3 linked regions of the Neurospora crassa OR74A genome follow. The protein of the gene in region 3 interacts with the protein of the main gene of each other region in a pairwise test. Links are inferred from orthologs where the notes say so. Each region holds a gene or a part of one and is shown on either strand. Other genes may lie near its edges.

Region 1 (6,383 bases), on a different chromosome or scaffold from region 3:
GCGGTCCGCCACTCAGATCGCAAGAACGAACACGTCTTACAGGCAAGATGAAGCAGTCAACCAGAAGCAGGAGGCGACAGAAGCGCTGGCAAATTGGCGGCAGTTGATTTCCACTTGCGTTCGCTGCTGTTGCGAATTCATTGGCTCGATCACCACCAGAAAACTGAAAACCCAAGAACCTCGGGGTTTCGAACTCCCAAAGGAGGAAAATGTCCAAGTAGCAATATGATGTCCAAGAAAAAATATGTGCTGCGATGCGAAACCAGGCGGCAGGTGACAAGCGGGAAGAGAAATTGCTGGACACCTAGGTAGTTTGTTGGTAGGTGTGGTAGCAATGAGATGCAGCTAGGTTATAATATTCGCGGGAAAGCAAAGACGAGGGCAAGGGAATGACGATTTTCTGGGTCGAGTGATGGCGTTCTGCCGTCAACAGTCAAGTTGTATCTGTCTAGTAGCAAAACTCCACGGACTCATGCCCGCCTTGTTGGTGGGCACTCCAATGGCCCCGGGTCCGCTCCCATTTTCCACTTTCAACCTTAATTGATGAGGGTGGGTAGGTGGGTGGGCGGTTGATGGGCAGACAAAGATGAAAACTAGCTGGCGGTATCGGCCTCCCGCCTCCATCTTGGGTCGCTCGCTTGCGATTGTACCTCTCGGGGCCAAAACAACACACACACAGGTACAGCATGCGATGCAGTTGCCACCCGCGCACGCCGTGCTGCCAAGCGGGTTGATGTTGACTTCCACTTTGCAGTGCGGGATTGGGAGAAGCGCTGCCGAGCCAAAGCATGCAGTTTGGCGGTGTCGACGGAAGCTTCAGGGGTTCGATAGAGCTTATCGCGGTGGAGATCCTTCACGTCAGTAGCCCCACCGAGGTAACTTCCACTTCCATCTCGAGTGACCCTTCCCGATCCGTCGCACATGCCAGGAACGTCGACGACGAAGGGCTCCAGGATGGACCGAGTTTCACGAAGCATTTTGTACTACTTGGATTTACCATAAACTGAAGCCATTTCGCATTGGATGTGTCTCGGAAGGAAAGTCTACCCCGCGTTACTCGTCAAGCGAAAAGTTACACAGCATAACCGGTCTACCGCCAATAAGAGCCAAAAGTCGGAGAGTTGGATCGATTAACTTCTTACTTTGACATGTGCGGACCTTGTTACTGCTTTAAAGTTGGTAGCCCAACCTTTTGTCACTTGATCAATCGTGATTCAAGACCAGCCATGGCAGGTCTCTCTTCACATAGAGGTACGAATCGAATTTGTTGTACGAATCGTACAGCGGCATGCTTTTGGTGTGCTTCGTAATGAGATGTCGGTGTTCCATCACTCGGTCTCCGCCTGGCAACTGCATCGGATATCTTGCCTCACACTGCTTGGTTGGTCATCATCAATAGCTGACACAAACAGCCATGACGACTCTTAGGTTCGGGGGCCAGTGGGGCGATTGGTCGATAATGTATACGATTGTGCCAGTCCCGAAGTTATCCATGTTAAATCCAGTTTCAAGAAACCCATCTGCGCCGCCAATAGATAGAAAAGAACGCCTTTATAAAACGCCGCATTATCCCACAAAATCTCTCCTTTCCATGAGTAAGGATATATCAAACTCGGGGTATTCGTTCGTGTCGGAAGATTAAATGGGCTTGATCTTGAAGTGCAAGGCAATGAGACTGAACACCAGCGCCTTGAGGTCCTGAACGAGGTAGTAGAAGACGCGCAAGCCTTCTGGGTCGGCCGAGTCCGTAACATCGTTGATCGATCCGATCTTGGCAGTCTATTTCCTGTATTAGCTCTGAACATTTTGCAGAAATAGATTCCGACACTGGCAAGACGCACCTCGAATGAAATGTGGTCGTTCCCGAGGCGGATCTCCAACTCCTGCTTTCCGTCTTTGTTTTTGGTCGGCCATTTCTCGTCGTCTTCCCTGTTGGCCTGTCAGCAGCCGCTCCATGTTGTTTGTATAAAAGGGTGAACATGATGTCGTACTTCATAATCTCGCTGTCCTTGATGATGCGCTTGATCTCGTCAATGACCAGAGAGCTGACGCACACTAAAAGAGACCCTCGTCAGTATATGGATGTCCACGGCCGGCTAAACAGTGTTTCCTACTCTCTTTCCTGATCAGACTGTCGTTACGGTAGTTGGAGTTGTTGGCATATCGGGCAGTGGCGCTACGTCCGTCGCCGAGGACGCGAAAGTCGAACTCTGTAGTCAAAGGGCGGTAGTTTAGCATCGTGGTCGTGGAAACGTGGGAGCTTGCGTCTCGAGGCGCAAATGGCTGAACACACCTAGGAACTCGTGGCCGAAGCGGCCCGAGTGGCCAGAGCTAAGCCGGCTGTTAGCATGGTGTTTTCAATGTGTGAGTGAATCGAATCCCGTAGGGGTGTACATACTAGTAGCGCAGATAGAAGGGTTCGTTGGCGGCTGACATGGCTGTTTGTTGCTTCTGTCAGTAGTAGGCTTTGCAAGACAAGAGGCAGAGATGCAGCCAGCGGCTTGGTTCCTGTCGCTTTTGGATGGACAACCTTGAAAGTCGCGCCCGCGCGGCCACGCTCCAGTGACATTGGCGGGGCACACGGCCCCACACTTGACCCCAGCTTGGCCCAGGGGCATTGTTTGGGCTCCAAGCTGACTCCGGGTTCACGAGCCTTCCTGACAGCTGGCAATCCGTATCTACACGTGATCCTTCGACTGTTTGGACAAGCTGGCAGATGGCAGACTCGGCCAGGAGATGGAGGCTTGGTGAGGCCGTAAGGGTGTCGGGGGGTCCGTGCTTCGCCGTGTGCTGTTGCGGCCGGCCAGAATGCCACATCTCCCAGGGGCCGTCTCTCGATAGAATTGACCGTCCTATCCACGCTGGCTCTTCCAGACTTCAACAACAAGCACAGGTGATGCTCCGCTCTCTCACCTCGCCGGCGCACTCCAGACAACCCTTTCATTGCGCAGCCGTCTCTTGATTTTCGGCCAACCACGACCCTGTCAGTCCAGGGGGAGGAAACCACATCCAGCACCAAGGCCAGCTCATCGTCACTCTTCAGGAGCTCGAGGCAGCCACTCAGTCCATCCATTTACTAGCACCACGCAACCTACAACGGGGCAAACAACACCTTACCACACCCGCCCCTCTCTAATTTCGATCCGCGACTCCTCTTCAGGACGCCCGGCCAGCTACTTTCTACCAAATTCAATCTCAACTTTAATCAAAGACGGCCCGGCCGCCGCCAGCTCTCCAACATGTCGTTCCTCGAAAATGCCTACAGCTTGGTCAAGGACAATGCCGTCGACGGCACCCCAACCGTGCAGGAGCTCAAGACGCAGCTCGAAAAGGGCACCGACGAGACCAAGATCGAGACCATGAAGCGCATTCTTACCATCATGCTCAATGGCGATCCCATGCCCCAATTGCTCATGCACATTATCCGATTCGTAATGCCTTCTAAATCCAAGCCCCTGAAGAAGCTTCTATACTTCTACTATGAGATCTGCCCCAAGCTTGATGCCCAAGGGAAGCTCAAGCAGGAGTTCATCCTAGTATGGTAAGGCATTCCGTGTCCGTCTGGGCATGCTGGCCCCTCCAAGCTGACCAGCCATTGCCTCGCAGTAACGGCATCCGAAACGACTTGCAACACCCGAACGAGTACATCCGAGGCAACACGCTGCGCTTCCTGTGCAAGCTGCGGGAGGCCGAACTTCTCGAGCCTTTGCTCTCCTCAGCCCGGGGCTGTCTCGAACATCGCCATGCCTATGTCCGAAAGAACGCCGTCTTTGCTGTCGCTTCCATTTACCAGCACTCCCCGTCGCTTATTCCCGATGCTGCGGACTTGATCTCCACGTTCCTCGAAGGCGAAAGCGACCCAACCTGCAAGCGGAATGGCTTCGCCGCCCTTGCCAGCATCGACCACGACAAGGCTCTTCTCTATCTCAGCACCGTCTTTGACGGTATTCCCAACGCAGATGAGCTTTTGCAGTTGGCCGAGTTGGAGTTCATCAGGAAAGATGCTGTTGTCAACACCCAGAACAAGGCGCGCTACCTCCGTCTTATTTTTGACCTTTTGGAAGCTAGTGCCTCGACCGTTATCTACGAAGCGGCCTCGTCGTTGACGGCCCTCACCAACAACCCTGTCGCTGTCAAGGCTGCTGCCAGCAAGTTCATTGAGCTTGCGATCAAGGAGGCGGATAACAATGTCAAGCTTATCGTTCTGGACCGTGTCGATCAACTCCGCCAAAAGAACCCCGGCGTCCTGGACGACCTGACCATGGAGGTGTTGCGCGTTCTCTCTAGCACGGATATCGATGTGCGGAGGAAGGGTCTCGAGATCGCTTTGGAGATGGTCTCCAGCAAGAACGTGGAGGAAGTCGTGCTTTTGCTCAAGAAGGAGCTGTCCAAGACGGTTGACCAGGAGTACGAGAAGAACAACGAGTACCGCCAGCTTCTTATCCACTCCATCCATCAATGCGCTATCAAGTTCTCCGAAGTCGCCGCTAGCGTCGTCGGCTTGCTCATGGACTTTATTGCCGATTTCAACAACAACTCCGCCGTTGATGTTATTAACTTTGTCAAGGAGGTCGTCGAGAAGTTCCCTCAGCTCAGGCCAGCAATCATTGCGAGACTGGTAGATACCCTGAGTGAAGTCCGCGCTGGTAAGATCTACCGCGGTATTCTCTGGATTATCGGCGAGTACTCGCTTGAGGAGAAGGATATCAGGGACGCATGGAAGAGAATTCGGGCAAGCCTGGGTGAGATCCCGATCTTGGCATCCGAGCAACGGTTGCTGGATAATGTTGATGGTGATGCCGAGGAGAAGGAGAAGGAGCAGGTCAATGGCTCAAGGGCAGCGCCGACTGGCTCACGCAAGGTCCTTGCTGACGGCACATACGCTACCGAGACTGCCCTTACCAGCCAGTCTACAGCTGCTGCACGCCTGGAGGCTGTCAAGGCTTCGTCGAAGCCCCCTCTCAGGCAACTTATCCTTGACGGCGATTACTACCTTGCCACTGTTCTCGCATCGACCCTTACCAAGCTTGTCATGCGTCATGCCGAGATCTCCTCGGAAGAGGCTCGCACGAACGCCCTCCGCGCTGAGGCTATGCTCATCATGATCTCCGTCATTCGTGTTGGTCAGTCGCAGTTCGTCAAGGCCCCTATTGATGAAGATTCGGTGGATCGTATCATGAGCTGTGTGCGCTCCCTTGCCGAGTTCACCGCGCACAAGGAGTTGGAGACCGTTTATCTCGAGGATACCAGGAAGGCGTTCAGGGCGATGGTCCAGGTTGAGGAGAAGAAGCGCGCAGCAAAAGAGGCCCACCAAAAGGCAAAGACGGCCACCCAGGTGGACGATGTTTATCAAATCCGCCAGCTTTCCAAGAAGAATGCCACTGATGGGGCTGATGCTTTCGATGCCGATCTCGAGCGTGCCACTGGTGGAGACAACAGCTCGGCTGAGGACCTATCTGGCAAGCTTAGCCGCGTTGTCCAGCTCACCGGTTTCTCCGACCCTGTTTATGCTGAGGCCTATGTCAAGGTCCACCAGTTCGACATTGTACTAGACGTACTACTCGTCAACCAAACAACTGAGACCCTCCAGAACCTTACCGTCGAGTTCGCAACTCTCGGTGACCTCAAGGTTGTGGAGAAGCCGACAAGCCAGAATCTGGGACCCCACGACTTCCACAACGTTCAGTGCACCATCAAGGTCTCCTCCACAGATACTGGTGTCATCTTTGGCAACGTCGTGTATGAGGGTGCTCACTCCACTGATACCCACGTGGTCATCCTGAACGACTTGCACGTCGACATCATGGATTACATCCAACCGGCAACTTGCACTGAGACCCAGTTCCGCACCATGTGGACCGAGTTTGAGTGGGAGAACAAGGTCAACATCAACAGCAAGGCGAAGAGCCTACGTGAGTTCCTGGACCTGCTTATGGCGTCCACAAATATGAACTGCTTGACACCAGAGGCCAGTCTTAAGGGTGATTGCCAGTTCTTGAGCGCCAACCTTTACGCAAGAAGCGTTTTCGGTAAGTTTTCTCGTCATTCGCATAGCACTTTCGGAAATAGCATCGCTAACTTCCCTTCTCTTATTCAGGCGAGGACGCTCTAGCAAACTTGAGCATCGAAAAGGAAGGTGAAGACGGACCCATTACTGGTTTCTTGAGGATACGCAGCAGATCGCAAGGGTTGGCCCTCAGTCTTGGCTCCCTCAAGGCATTGAACAAGATTGGTTCTGCCGCTTGAACAGATTTTCTCTCCGGCTAGATGAGATGAAAAAGATGATGTATGGGGTGATTGGGAGGGTTGTATAGCGATTAATTCATCACTTGATATTCTTTTCACCGTTGTGGTTTGTTTCAGTTGTTGTTATCATAGTCTTT
Region 2 (6,469 bases), on a different chromosome or scaffold from region 3:
TGACTTGACCCGTTAATCTCTGCAGATGGCTCTGCTTGGGCAGCTTGATCGATGTTGTCTGCTAGCGAGAATTGCTCAGTATGACACTCATTCGCAAGGACATCCTCGGTGACCTGACGTTCCGTGTGTTCCTCTGATGCTTCCTTCTGGATGTCTCCAGCCGAGACGGTAACATCCCTAACCTCGGCTACATTCACGCTGACTTCGACGTCTTCAGTACCCTCGATATCCTCTGCAACTTCGATATTCTCGGTGAGCTCAATGACCTCTGGCTCTTCGTTATCTTCCTTCTCTTCTTGGTCTTGATCTTGCTGGCCTTCCTCGTCTCGATGCTCTTGGTCATCAAATTCAGCATCCTGGCCATCCTCATGATCACCATCATTTTCGAGGCCTTCGTTGTCATTGTCATCATAATCTTCAATGTCCTGATCGTCATCCAGATATTCATCCTCCCCGGAGGCATCTGAGTAATCGGGAGAGTAGTCTGCTCCGCTCCAGATGCCTGCCTCCTCGAGCAAGTCCAGGAACCGGCCCTCGGGGTCCGGACGGACCAAAAGATTGAGCGTTAGGGATGTCTCTGTGACGATTCCTTTAGCTAGAAGGACATTGTAGCAGTAAATGATCTGATGAAAGCTGCGCTGCAAAAAGTCTTTACTGGACCTTTCGCCAAAGTTCAAATCAAGTGAGTCAATAACGATGACCAGTTCTTCTCCGGGTGTTAACTCCGAGGCAATGACAGAACGGATAGATGCAAGTAATTCCGACAACGGTGCGGTTGCGATCTCAGTATCGGTAAGAAAGTAGGTCTCAGGATCCATGTCCGAGTTCCCAAAGAGGGCATAACTGCCACCATCATACTGGACTGTAATATCTGTGATGCTGAATGCAGCATCATCAACAATGGCCTCGTCATGGTCAATCTGGCTTTCCTCGAGCTGGCGATCCTCGCTCACGGCCTCGCCCGCTTGTTCAGCTCCCGAGACAGCTGTATCCAGAGGGTTGGTAGCTGCAACACCACCGACGTCCAGACCGACATCGGTCTCGGCAACTTGTTCAGTAGCCTCCTGATCAACAGGGTTCTTTGTCTCGGCCTCACGCCCGATCGGCTGCTCTTCCGCATCGTCGCCCAATTTGGACTCAGCAAGATCAATCTGGACGTCCTGGGCTTCCTGTTCCAATTCACGTAGATCTGGATTCTCGTCATTTGCAGACGGCGCTTTTGATATAGTGGTATCTTCGGGCTCGTGTTCAGTAACAGCCTCTTCTGCAACGCCCTCCTCCTCTTCATAACCTATCTCGTCATTGTATGCCATGGAGACATCCTGAGCATCTTGCTCGACGCCGCCTGCCGCCTCTGCTTGCTCATCGTTGGTATTATGCTGAGCCTCGAGGTCATCGACAGCAAATTCAACATCCGCTGTGGCGGGTTGGGCATCAAGATCGATCGCCTGGTACTCATCTTCCTTGTCATGTAGGTCGTCGAGTTCTAAGACAAGCTCGTCGGCTGGCATGCCGGCATCTAGCATCAAGTCATCGTCAAATACCGCCTTCCCCGCCTCGGCACGAACGTCGAAGCTAACTTGCTCCATGATGATTGGCGGTTGGCGGGTCAATCAAAACACGCGCCACAGACGAGTGAGTTGGATCAAGAACGAAAATTTGGAAAATGACGCAAAACTTCCACGAAGTTTCTAAGAAGGTGCGACGTATTGCCGTTGTCAAGAAATTGTACGTCCAGCAAGCGTCATGAAAGAAGCGAAGACGTAGAAAATTGGTGCACTGGTCAAAACCCCAAGCTTGGCGATGGGTTTCGGTGGATGTCTTGGACTGAAAGGCTGTGACTTCTTCTTGGAAGCGAAGCCGTAGGGCATATAGAGACCACGGGTTCTGGAGTTATGGCTGAGAATGGGCAACCCCGCACTCGACAAAGAACGCCCGACAAACAACGGCGCTTCTGGGGCGCAAAATGAAACGGTGAAGGGATGTGAGGCGACACGTGGACTGGCGGAATCCGACAACACGATTTAACCGCTGTTAAGAGTTCTGGGGCGGATGTTCTGGGCAAAAGTGCACATCGAATCGAGGTATGGAATGCTGAAACGCGGCAGGCAGATAATCGGGATGCCTCACTTTCACGGAGCGGCGGAGCTGGGAGGTGGGTGAAGTGCAACGGAGTCGAGTAAGCTCTTGATGACGAGGCGTGTCACAAAGGTAGCGTAGGTATTTGATGATCCGTAATCGAGACTCGTATTGGCTGGGCAATGCTTTGACGCGATTGAGAAACAAGTTTCTCGATGGCGGATGGTTTTTCGAGGTAGGCGATGGTTTGGATGGAAATGGAAATCGTGAAATTTCGACACACGGGGCCGTCTGTTGTGCGTGTTGAAGAAAGAGGTGCAGTTGTTGGTTTTGCCGCAGTGTGTGGACAACGGTGAAATTCGCAGAATTGATCATAGGAAGGAAACTGAACCTAAGCAAGTGCCGCATGGAGTTTAGCGGGCCCTGTGGGTGCCTAGAGGTACCTACCTACTGTACTTGTATCTATGGTGTGCCCCTGGATTTCTTTTGCCAGCTGGCAGCCCCTCGTCGGCCGGCCAGGACGCTGCCACCGTGTACGCAGTAGGTTGCCCTGGCCCGCCTGAACCCGACTGCCCTGACGCTGCAGTGAAGCTGCCGTCCAGGTACCTCTACCTATCGCTGCCCGCTGGGTCCCTCCAGATGGCACCTTCAGTTCAATTGGACCTGACCGACAGCACACCTCAGCACGGCAACGGAAAGACCACATCAACCTTCCCGTCCACGACAACTTTCAGGAGGTGAAGCTCACGACTTACCTCCAACGCATCCCAAAGCTCCCTGCACTACCACGAAGCGCCCTTCGAGTCAGTAGTCGTGGTTGTTGTTTACTGCTGTCAAAATGGTAACTCATCCATCCCTGTCTCCTGGTGGGAAGAAGCGATTGACGGAACATGTCAGGTTGTCCTCGCTGCCTCCATCTGCACCCGCGGCGGCAAGGCCGTCTTAGCCCGCGCCTTCAACGACATCAAGCGCTCCCGCATCGAAGCTCTCCTCGCCTCGTTCCCCAAGGCCGCCGACTCGGGTACTCAGCACACCATTGTCGAGCAAGACAATGTCCGATTCGTCTACCAGCCCCTGGACGAGCTGTACATGGTCCTCATCACCAACAAGCAGTCCAACATCCTTCAGGACATCGACTCGCTCCACCTTTTTGCCCAGGTTGTCACCAGCACCTGCAAGAGCCTTGACGAGCGCGAAATCCTCCGAAATGCCTACGAACTGCTCAGCGCCTTCGATGAGCTGGTGACTCTCGGTTACCGGGAGAACCTCACCATCAGCCAGATCAAGACCTTCCTCGAGATGGAAAGCCACGAGGAGCGCATTCAGGAAATCATTGCCCGCAACAAGGAGCTGGAGGCCACCGAAGAGCGCAAGAGGAAAGCCAAGCAGTTGGAGATGCAGCGCAAGGAGTCGGCCAGAACTGGTCGGTCCGCGGTACCCCGGACGCCGGTATATCCCACATACACCCCGCCGGTGCGACCTGCTGTCACCGAGTCCTATGATACGTACGAAGCCGAGAAGAACAAGGTCAAGTATGTGTTAGTCCCTCTTCTTTTCAGGCTGGCCTGCAAGCTCACATTCTTCTAGGTTCAATGCGCCAAAGGGCAAAGGTATGCAGTTGGGCAAGAAGTCCAAGAATACGGATATTTTCGAGCGCGTGAAGGGGGATCTTGGACACGAGGCCGAGGAAGCGCCCCTTGTTCCGGTAGCCGCGCCGGCAGCTGCCGCAGAGCCTGCTGCTTCCAGAGTCTCTTCGACACTCGACAGGGATGCTATTCACGTCCTTATCAACGAGGCAATCAGTGCCAAGCTGTCGAGAGATGGTGCCCTCGAATCCCTCTCGGTCAGCGGTGACCTCCAGCTTCGCGTCTCCGACCCATCGCTTTCAAGGATCAAGCTCAACCTCAGCGCCACACCCACCCACGGCGCCCAGTTCCGCACTCACCCGAACGTCGATAAGAATGTCTTCAATAGCTCCCAGGCTATCCAGTTGTCTCAAATCACAAAGGGTTTCCCCCTTAACAACTCTGTCGGAGTTCTAAGGTGGCGGGCCAGTCCCAGAGTCGACGACACCAGCGCACTACCAATCAGCTTCACCGTTTGGGTCAACAAGGGCTCGGATGGCAACAGCACATTGACGGTCGAGTACGAGCTCACTGGCGGAGATACCCTCAAGGACGTTACTGTCGTCATCCCCTACACGAGCGCAGAGCCTCAGGTGTCTAGCTTCGACGCTGTGTATGAGGTGTCTGGTGACAGTCTAGAGTGGTCGATAGGCACCGTAAGCGAGGAGAACGCCAGCGGATCATTCGAGTTTGAGGCGCAGACCGATGACGAGAACGAGTTCTTCCCGATGCAAGTACGGTTCTCCAAGTCGTGGCCGTTCGTGGAGGTTGATGTAAGATGTCGCCCCCTCATGTCAGAAAAACGGGTAAAGACGGAACAACTGACACATTCTAGGTTCAATCTGTTGAGCTGGTGGATGAAGGTGAAGAGGTTTCGTTTTCCAAGGACATCAGATCGGTGGCCGACAAGTTCCTCATTGAGTAGGGTTTGTTGTCATTGTTTTGAGCAGAACCAAAAAAGGGCGACCGTAGCATGCCGGCCAGGCGTCTCGATCATCATCTTCCACACCAGAATTAGAGTAATGTATGGGAAGCAACCGAGTTGTCCAACTCCCTTTATAATGAATACTGTTGTACATGGTCCGCGCCAGTGGGTGCTCGAGCTGTCATTCCTTTTCTTCCGTTGATACCCAAGGTCATACTTGACTTTTTGAACAAGAGGTTTTTGACGCTCCCGGGATCCTTGAAAGTAACATGTAAGCTACGAGCCCTACGCATTTTTAAGGGGATGGATACCCTCATGATCCAGTACCATATAGAAAGAAGCCTATCTACGCAAAGAGCTATCCAACTCAATCATCGCTGTTGTAAGCACAGAGTATGGTAATTGATGTCGATGTGTGTAGTTCGCTAGGTAAGCTTGTAAAGGTCATACCTACACAGTACGGATGCCCCTGCACAGTATTTCTATTACTGTGGCAACTGCTCTATCTGCACTGTGTTTTGAATCAACAGGCAGGACGAGACCACACGACTGAATCGCAGAACAGCAGCAACAACAACAACAACATCACGCCGAGGCAAGTGAAGCTGTAGGTCTAGCAAACCAAAACCGAAATCCCCCAAACATACAAACCGACTTGCCAAGTTATGGACTTGCGCGTGTCATTCAAATCAAAATCTTGCGTCCCGGAGTTGAAGGCTGGAACCACTTAGCCGCTGCTTTCCACGTCCAAATAACATCATCCAACTGAAAGTCACCAACGGATCCTACAAAATGTCCCCAAATGGGCAGCTTCAGCTATTCAGTTCAAGCGCCTTGAGTGTGCCAGTCTCAGGCAAGCAAATCGTATGCAATCCCGTGATCGACTTGACAGCCACGGTCGGCGACGGTAACACGATCTATGTCTGGCGTGGCAGCAATCAGTTGGTCTCGAAGCATACAGAACGAAACCAGAAGGTTGATGCAATCAAGTGGAAAGAGGATGGTAAGTGAAGATCTTCCGATGGCTGTTGAGGGAAACCACTGTCTTACAGGGAATTCGCAGGCCAATTCTTAGCTGCCGGCTGGAGTGACGGCGTGGTGAGGTTGATCGGCTTGGAAAGCAACAAAGCCGTGCATCACATCCGCGTGGCAGGTCATGGTGGAAAGCCTTCTAAGATTGAGTTCATCGCCTGGGCCAAAAACGAAACTGGTAGGAAGTCGCGTGCCAGGAAGCATAATGACCTCCCCGACTTGCCGTGGCGGGATCTCATGCTCGATGAGAAGAAGCATGTTCTGGACCTCCCTCATGAGTTGACTTTTCTGGAAATCGAGACTGCTCTCCCCAAAATTAGTCCTCTTCCTTTGTCGGGAGGCATCGGGTATGTGTACAGGACCCATGAGCTTGCAGTGCCGGGAGACAAACCTAAAAAAGTGATGGTGTAACTGACATGGCTATAGGGACGATATGTTTGTTTTCTCTACCGCGGCATCACTCGAGTTCGTGTTCCGCCCTTACCAGCCCGAGGACTCGGACAATGTACATGTCATGATCACCGGCACAGCCGACGGAGGCATTCATCTCAGCATCTACGATTCATTTGTCATTGGAACCTTTCAACATGTACCGCATACGGCCAGAGGACCCGCCTCAAACGAGGGTCCTTTCCAGCTTTGCGGTCATAGTTCCCATCATAAAGTGCCTACTCACGCACTCCTCCTAAGACCCAAGGAGGGTAGTCCGACATCCCTTTTTCTTGTTCCGATGGACCTCACTTTTGTACACAAATCGCCTATCAACCTGTCTTTGTTGGCGTCGAACACGACAACACTTCAGAATCTC
Region 3 (6,467 bases):
GAATGAAGAGCGCTCCAACGACAGCCACAATGACAACTTTGTTCGACCACCCCTCATACACCACCCTACAGACCCGCTAGGCTTCCAATCGACGGGCTACGATTCCATGCCGCCCAAGCCTCCGGTCGACAACCGCGTTTCGGTAGGGAGCTTGATCGATCTCGATGAAAGCTTACCTATGCCAACAAACGATTTCACCAATCGGGAGTATACGCGGCCATCCACAGCCAACTCGGACGCTGCTTCTGTCAGTGGTTCAGAGATAGGCGGCGCAAACCCGTTCGACCTCGAACGGCACGCTTCACTTTACCAGCCGCTGCCTGTCGTACGATCATCATCAGTCCGCGAACCGTCCATCTACGTGTCAGACGACAGCGACTACGCCCGGGTCGCTCAGGCGCCGTCAGAGGAGCATTTCATTGGGACCAACGGTCGTGGTACGCCCGACTATGCTTCATCCGTCAACGGTGGAGGCAGCATAGGGAACGGTAGCATCGGTGGCGGTAGCATCGGCGGCGGAAGCATCGGCAGCAGGACCAGCAGCCGCGCCCACTCCCGCGCGGACAGCTACAGCTACGCCACCGACGACGACGTGGGGGGTTATTCAGCTGGCGAGTACGCCGAGTCGGAATACCTGGGCGGCAGCATGGATCCGATGGCGATGAGTGGCGAAGGGCGCAACCGTAGTCGCCGGCGGCCAAGCGGCATGCGGCCGGACCCGGATTCGCACCATCCGCCTCGAGGGTACGGCATGGGCGGGAGCATGAACGGGAATAATGGCACGGGCAGCCATGGTGGCGGGCATCATGGTCACCAGGTGCATCATGGTCATGGTCATGGTCAATATCATGGTCATGGTCATGGCCACAGCAATAGCCAGGGTTCGACAGATATGATGCACATGCCTCATGTTCCGGAGCCGCCGAGAGTCAGGGTGATGCAGGGCATGGCGAATCGAGAGGAGGTGAGGGATGATGTGATGAGATTGTTGGCTAGCTTCTCGGAGCACTTGGGGTTTGCGAATGCGCATGTGAATACGCTTCCGGTCAGGCAGGGGAGGAGGGGAAGTGAGGTGGACACGAGTGTCTGAGGGAGGTAGGGTCTTGTAACGGGATGTTATTTGTCTCAGAACCACACTGAAGTAATTGTTTAATGTGTGTATTTGGTGTGCTTACTGAGGTCCAGGGGTATATGGTGTAGCATGGATCTAGGGTCAGGTATAGATAAGCGGTATCATACAAACAATTCACGAATCACAATATGTGTTGGTAGATGAATTACTATCCATAGTTCAGCAAGATTGAAGAGGCCGTCCATGCTCAACATGTGTTGTAGTTAAGTTTTGTTGTGGTGGTGATTGTAAGATGAGCAGCCTAGAATAGGGCGTAAACTGGTTTTGGGTTCAAGTTGAGACGGATAAAAGAGAAAAATTTCTCCACAGTGACTCAAAGGGAGCCAAACCCTGAGCTTGACCACCACCACCAAGTTCGAGACTTGTTGTCTAACACAACCGATGCCTCACAAGATATCCGTTGCCTAAAATCGCCAAGATAATCGACAGACTCTGGGTTTTCAATCCATCTCTCGAAATCGTCGAATCCCCTGAATGAAGGGAACTATTTGCGCCAATATTCTAACTCTCACTACCCGATTCAAACGCTTGCACCTCCCACAACTCACCCCAATCCTCAATCGACACCACCACACTATAACCACAGACATAACTAGACCAAAATCTACGGCAGTGCCATTGATGGCACCCGCTATGACAACTTCGACGACAATGGAAACCCGGATTCTCAAAGTGAAGGTGGACGACAGCAACATCCAAGTGCTCGGCCACTGGAAGGAGGAGTCAGCAGAACACAAAGATGGAAGCAAAACGAAAACTAGCAATCTCAACACATGGGAGGTCCCAACTACATCAGAAAATGAGAATATACTGTCTCCCATCCGCGAAGCAGCCCACCACCTCCGCACCACCGACATTCCTGTCGCCTTCCCCACGGAAACCGTCTACGGCCTAGGCGCCGATGCCACCCGCAGCGCTGCCGTCAAGGGAATCTATGCCGCCAAAGGTCGACCAAGCGATAATCCTTTGATCGTGCACGTTTGCGATTTGAGCATGTTACGGTCATTCATCTCTCCCTCCTTCTCCTCAGCAGGAGACGAAGAAGACCCCATCCCAGCCATCTATCACCCCCTCATAACCCGCTTCTGGCCCGGCCCCCTCACCATCCTGCTACCCAACCCCTCCCCCTCCCTCCTCGCTCCGGAAGTAACCGCCGGCCTACCCACATTCGGGTGCCGAATGCCCGCCTCGGCGCTGGCTCGCTCGCTGATCAAACTCGCCAACGCCCCCCTCGCCGCGCCCTCTGCGAACGCCAGCACTAAACCCAGCCCCACCGCCGCACAACACGTGTTAGACGATCTACGGGGTCGCATCGCACTGATCTTGGATGGAGGATCATGCAGCGTAGGGGTGGAAAGCACGGTCGTCGACGGGCTTTGCTCGCCGCCTGTGGTGCTGAGGCCGGGCGGGGTCAGCTTGGAGGAGATTAGGGAGTGTAAGGGGTGGGAAGGCGTGGAGAAGGCGTATAAGGATCAGGCAGAGGTCGGAGGAAAGACGGCGCCGAGAGCGCCGGGGATGAAGTATAAGCATTATAGCCCGAAGGCGAGGGTGGTGTTGTATGAGGCGGAGGGAGGGAGGAGGGAGGTACCGAAGGCGGATGTGAGGGAGGCGGTTGAAGCGGCTGGGGAGGAGGAGGGCAAGGGAAACGTGAAGAGTGTTGCGGTTATTAGGACGGGGAGATGGCCTGTTGCCGGGGGGTTGAGGAGTCAGGGGCTTGATGATGTTGCTGCGAAGGACAGCGGGGACGTGGCCGAGACTGGGTTCGCTGTCAGGGAAGGGCAATGGCTGGATGAGGACGGCACCACGGTGTTGGCAAGGCTTCTGGAGATTGATCTGGGCAACGATGTCAAGGGGGTGGCACATGGCCTTTTCGCTGCCCTCCGAGAGCTGGACAGGCGCGGCGCGGATGTAATATTCGTAGAGGGTGTGAGTGATGGAGACGATATCGCGGCGGCGGTCATGAACAGGCTGAGGAAAGCCGCTTCCGACATTAGAATATAGACGGGGTCAAACCCTATAGATCGCAAGGGAAAAGACTATAACTCCTGTTTTCTGCTAACCCATCACTTGTTGGCTTTTCGTGTCTTTTTGCTTCGCCTTTGGCTCATTACTCTGCCATAAAAAGGCTCGCCAAACAAAAGGGCCTGATACCTTTTTACGAACCAATGCGCCAACTTTACCTTGGTTGCTCCCATCCGCCACACTCCTTCCCTTGTCATTACCCACCCGCACATGCCCTTAGAGACCCTGACGAAGCCAGTCAGTAAGCTTAGCCTTGCCTAGTTGTGCCAAGTTGTTGACACCCTGCTCGGTGAAGGGGTCGAGGCGGCTGAGGTTGACATCGGCAGGCGGCGCCTTGCTGCATCGTTGAATGATGATGGTGGGATCGGTCTCGAGAACAACGCCGTCATCCACGATTTCGTCGATAGCGAGGGATACCAGATCGTAGTTTTCGACTATCGTGCGCTTGTCGATCGATTGCCTGAGTAGAAAGTCCGTGGTTAGCCAAATCATGTCCCATGACCGGCACCTTCACGTTCGCCATAAATACTCACTTGAAGAGCATATGCAAGCTGTCCCTAAGCGCCAAAAGTACGTTGTAGAGCAGAACTTCGTTCTCGTCCGCGCTACCAACGACGTAGATAGCAACGTCCGACTCCATCTTGTAAAGCACCACCTTGTTGTCGTAGAGGAGGATATCGCCCGTCTGCTTAGCTGTCTTCTGAAGGAGGCCCTTCTCGAAACGGGTTTGAGAAGTCTTGTCGGGATAGGGGTTCTGGGAAGCGCTCGAGGAAGCTGTTGTGCACAAGGTTCGGGCTGGTCAGCCTTACGGGAACATGCGACACCGAATAAGGGGTAAAAGGAGCGTCTATTGCGTACCGAGTCCGGCGGCCACTCCTGTTCCTGGTGCGCCAGCGGCAGCGTGAGGAGGAGTGTAGTATTTTGAGAATATCCGCGAACCGTCATCGCTGGAGAGGATTACTGTTGGAACGCAATTGTCAACATTGCTCGACGTGGCGCGTATAAGCCAGGACCCAGGAGCAGCGTGGTGCCTAGTGTACCTATAGCGTTGACGCTATACAGCGACATTCCTGGCGACATCTTGACTGGTTATCTGGGGGTTCTTGTTTCTTGATCAATTGCTGTCTCGAGACTGGTATCGGTTGGAGAAGGTCGGCGACGAGGGGCAACTCGACTTCAATGGGCGCAAGTGGGTAGGTATATAGTGGTTAGCTTGAACTCCAGAGGTGCTGCGTAGGTAGGTAGTGCTCACAATGACCAGGGGCAGGCGGTATCGTTGGTTACCGTGGTGAGCGTGGGTATTGTGGGGTGAAGCGGTCCCTGTGATGTGGCTTGAATCCAGAGCGAACACTCCAAGCGAGGCCCCACGGCGCGGTACGTACCTTACGTACCTGACAGTTCGCACTCAAGAGCAGCACTGCAGTGGCCTCGTCCGTCTCATTTGGGTATGACAGGGGTTTTAATGGGTCAACGCGAGTAAGCCCCCGCAGACACGAACGGCCGTGTAAAGTGCTTTTATCAGAGACGCGTGTGTCGCGACTGTCTTTTTTTTCGATAGGAACGTGATCCACCTTGCCCGTCCTGAACACGCTGCCGACCTGCCAACCACCTCGCAATTACAGAGGGATCGGGAGCCGCCACAACAACACTCCAGCGTCTCCATCCCAACCTGCCCGTCTTCTGTCCCTTCTTGTTGGTTTAGTTTCCATACTTTGTATTATCTCAACAAAACCACCGAGGACAGAGTAGTAAACATGTCTTCCCCAGCAAAGCGCAGAACAACGAGAAGCTCCCAATCAGCTACTCCCCGCACTACTCGCAGCTCGCAGGCTGGTCCTTCGAGCGCAACTCCTCGCCAGACACGCGCATCACAGCTTGCCTCTAGTCCCTTATTCTACGAGCCCTCCTCGCCTGCCAATGGCGCCGCCCCGGTATCTTCTCCCTTGAGGCAGATGAGCAATACCCAGAGCACTGCCCACCAAGGCAATGCGCCGAGCTCGCCTTTGCGCCAGCAGACAGAGACCCAGAGCGATGCTGACCGAACTCCTCGCGCAAACGGACGGAGCCAGTTAATTGGGGGTATGGCTGTCAACCAAAAAAAAAAAAAAAAGGACTACACTGAATGCTGACCACACTCCGCAGACTCCTCTCCCATCCGCTATGCCTCCAGTTCTAGCCCGGGCCGTCAGCTTACTCAACAGTCCGATCTTCGTAGCGAAAGCAGTCAGCTCTTCGTCAGCTCGCAAAGGTCCGTTGCCGGTCGATCCCGTCGAGGCGACATCAACGGGGACCCTCTTCGTACTCCCGCCCAGATTCCCCGCCGAATCATCCTCGACGACGCCGGTCGTGTGATCCGCGATGCCCCTGGCTCCGATGCCAACTCGTTTGTCACCAATAACCCCAATACCTCTGAGGCAGATGCCCTTGGTGGACAAAGCCAAGGTCTTGTTTGGGGTACAACAATTTCTCTTGACGATTCGTTCTCCGCGTTCAAGGACTTTCTCAGGAACTTCACCAGGAAATACCGGATGTGGGCAGATGGCGCGGACGAGGCCGAGACTATTGGCCATCCGGATGCGGATTCGAAGCCATATTGGGAGGCACTGGAGAATATGCTGCTGCTTGGTACCAACAAGCTGTATCTGGATCTCCGCGACCTCAAGTCCTACCCGCGCACCTTGAAGTTATGGCATCAGGCCCAACACTATCCTACCGAAATCATCCCGGTCATGGATCAATGCGTACATGACTGTATGATGGAGTTGGCGCAAAAGGAAATGGCCAGCCAAAGAGCATCCCAAAACTCTAGGACCGCTCCAGGTGCCTCACAAAGCTCGGAGCCGAACTTCCCAAGCTCTGAAAGGAGCGAGGAACCGCCCACCCCGCGGCCTGCCCAAACAGCGGCGCCCACAATTGAGGACCAAGTCAGCCAGATGGCGTATGTGGTTCGCCCGTGGGGTCTTGACAAGATCACCAACCTCCGTGACCTCAACCCATCTGACATGGACAAGCTTGTGTCCATCAAGGGTCTTGTCATCAGAACCACGCCGGTCATCCCCGACATGAAGGATGCATTTTTCAAGTGCAGTGTTTGTGGTCATTCTATAACCGTTCAGTTAGATCGTGGCAAGATTCGTGAGCCTACAGAGTGTCCTCGGGCTCGCTGCGCCTCCAAGAACTCAATGCAGATCATCCACAACAGATGTGCTTTCGAAGACAAGCAAGTCATCAAGCTGCAAGAAACTCCGGATAACGTGCCTGCTGGTCAGACACCCCACTCGGTATCCGTTTGCGTCTATAACGAGCTTGTGGA

The links.
Region 1: the proteins of NCU02538 (region 3) and NCU04404 interact in binary tests that used the Saccharomyces cerevisiae proteins (3 or more experiments, as listed by UniProt). The link is inferred for Neurospora crassa OR74A from reciprocal best matches to the Saccharomyces cerevisiae genes RET3 and SEC26.
Region 2: the proteins of NCU02538 (region 3) and NCU00493 interact in binary tests that used the Saccharomyces cerevisiae proteins (3 or more experiments, as listed by UniProt). The link is inferred for Neurospora crassa OR74A from reciprocal best matches to the Saccharomyces cerevisiae genes RET3 and RET2.

Annotation. Positions count from the first base shown.
Region 1 is NC_026504.1:3,469,954-3,476,336, forward strand, and holds the start of NCU04404 (coatomer beta subunit), read left to right. Parts: upstream 1-2,801; 5' UTR 2,802-3,239; coding exon 3,240-3,541; intron 3,542-3,606; coding exon 3,607-6,029; intron 6,030-6,097; coding exon 6,098-6,246; 3' UTR 6,247-6,383. Other genes in the region: NCU04405 (mago nashi protein), read right to left, coding at 1,639-1,779, 1,842-1,929, 1,992-2,055, 2,115-2,210, 2,294-2,331, 2,399-2,436. UniProt on the Saccharomyces cerevisiae protein: The coatomer is a cytosolic protein complex that binds to dilysine motifs and reversibly associates with Golgi non-clathrin-coated vesicles, which further mediate biosynthetic protein transport from the ER, via the Golgi up to the trans Golgi network.
Region 2 is NC_026503.1:4,046,087-4,052,555, forward strand, and holds NCU00493 (coatomer subunit delta), read left to right. Parts: upstream 1-2,637; 5' UTR 2,638-2,917; coding exon 2,918-2,920; intron 2,921-2,976; coding exon 2,977-3,611; intron 3,612-3,666; coding exon 3,667-4,477; intron 4,478-4,539; coding exon 4,540-4,629; 3' UTR 4,630-4,989; downstream 4,990-6,469. Other genes in the region: NCU00492 (hypothetical protein), read right to left, coding at 1-1,589; NCU00494 (hypothetical protein), read left to right, coding at 5,422-5,632, 5,693-6,008, 6,088-6,469. UniProt on the Saccharomyces cerevisiae protein: The coatomer is a cytosolic protein complex that binds to dilysine motifs and reversibly associates with Golgi non-clathrin-coated vesicles, which further mediate biosynthetic protein transport from the ER, via the Golgi up to the trans Golgi network.
Region 3 is NC_026501.1:2,660,814-2,667,280, forward strand, and holds NCU02538 (coatomer zeta subunit), read right to left. Parts: upstream 4,408-6,467; 5' UTR 4,235-4,407; coding exon 4,195-4,234; intron 4,115-4,194; coding exon 4,013-4,114; intron 3,929-4,012; coding exon 3,688-3,928; intron 3,615-3,687; coding exon 3,371-3,614; 3' UTR 3,134-3,370; coding exon of another isoform or gene 1,607-3,133; 3' UTR 1,523-1,606; downstream 1-1,522. Other genes in the region: pod-6 (polarity-defective 6, variant 1), read left to right, coding at 1-1,090; NCU11234 (translation initiation protein Sua5), read left to right, coding at 1,607-3,133; NCU02539 (cell division control protein 54), read left to right, coding at 4,909-5,233, 5,297-6,467. UniProt on the Saccharomyces cerevisiae protein: The coatomer is a cytosolic protein complex that binds to dilysine motifs and reversibly associates with Golgi non-clathrin-coated vesicles, which further mediate biosynthetic protein transport from the ER, via the Golgi up to the trans Golgi network.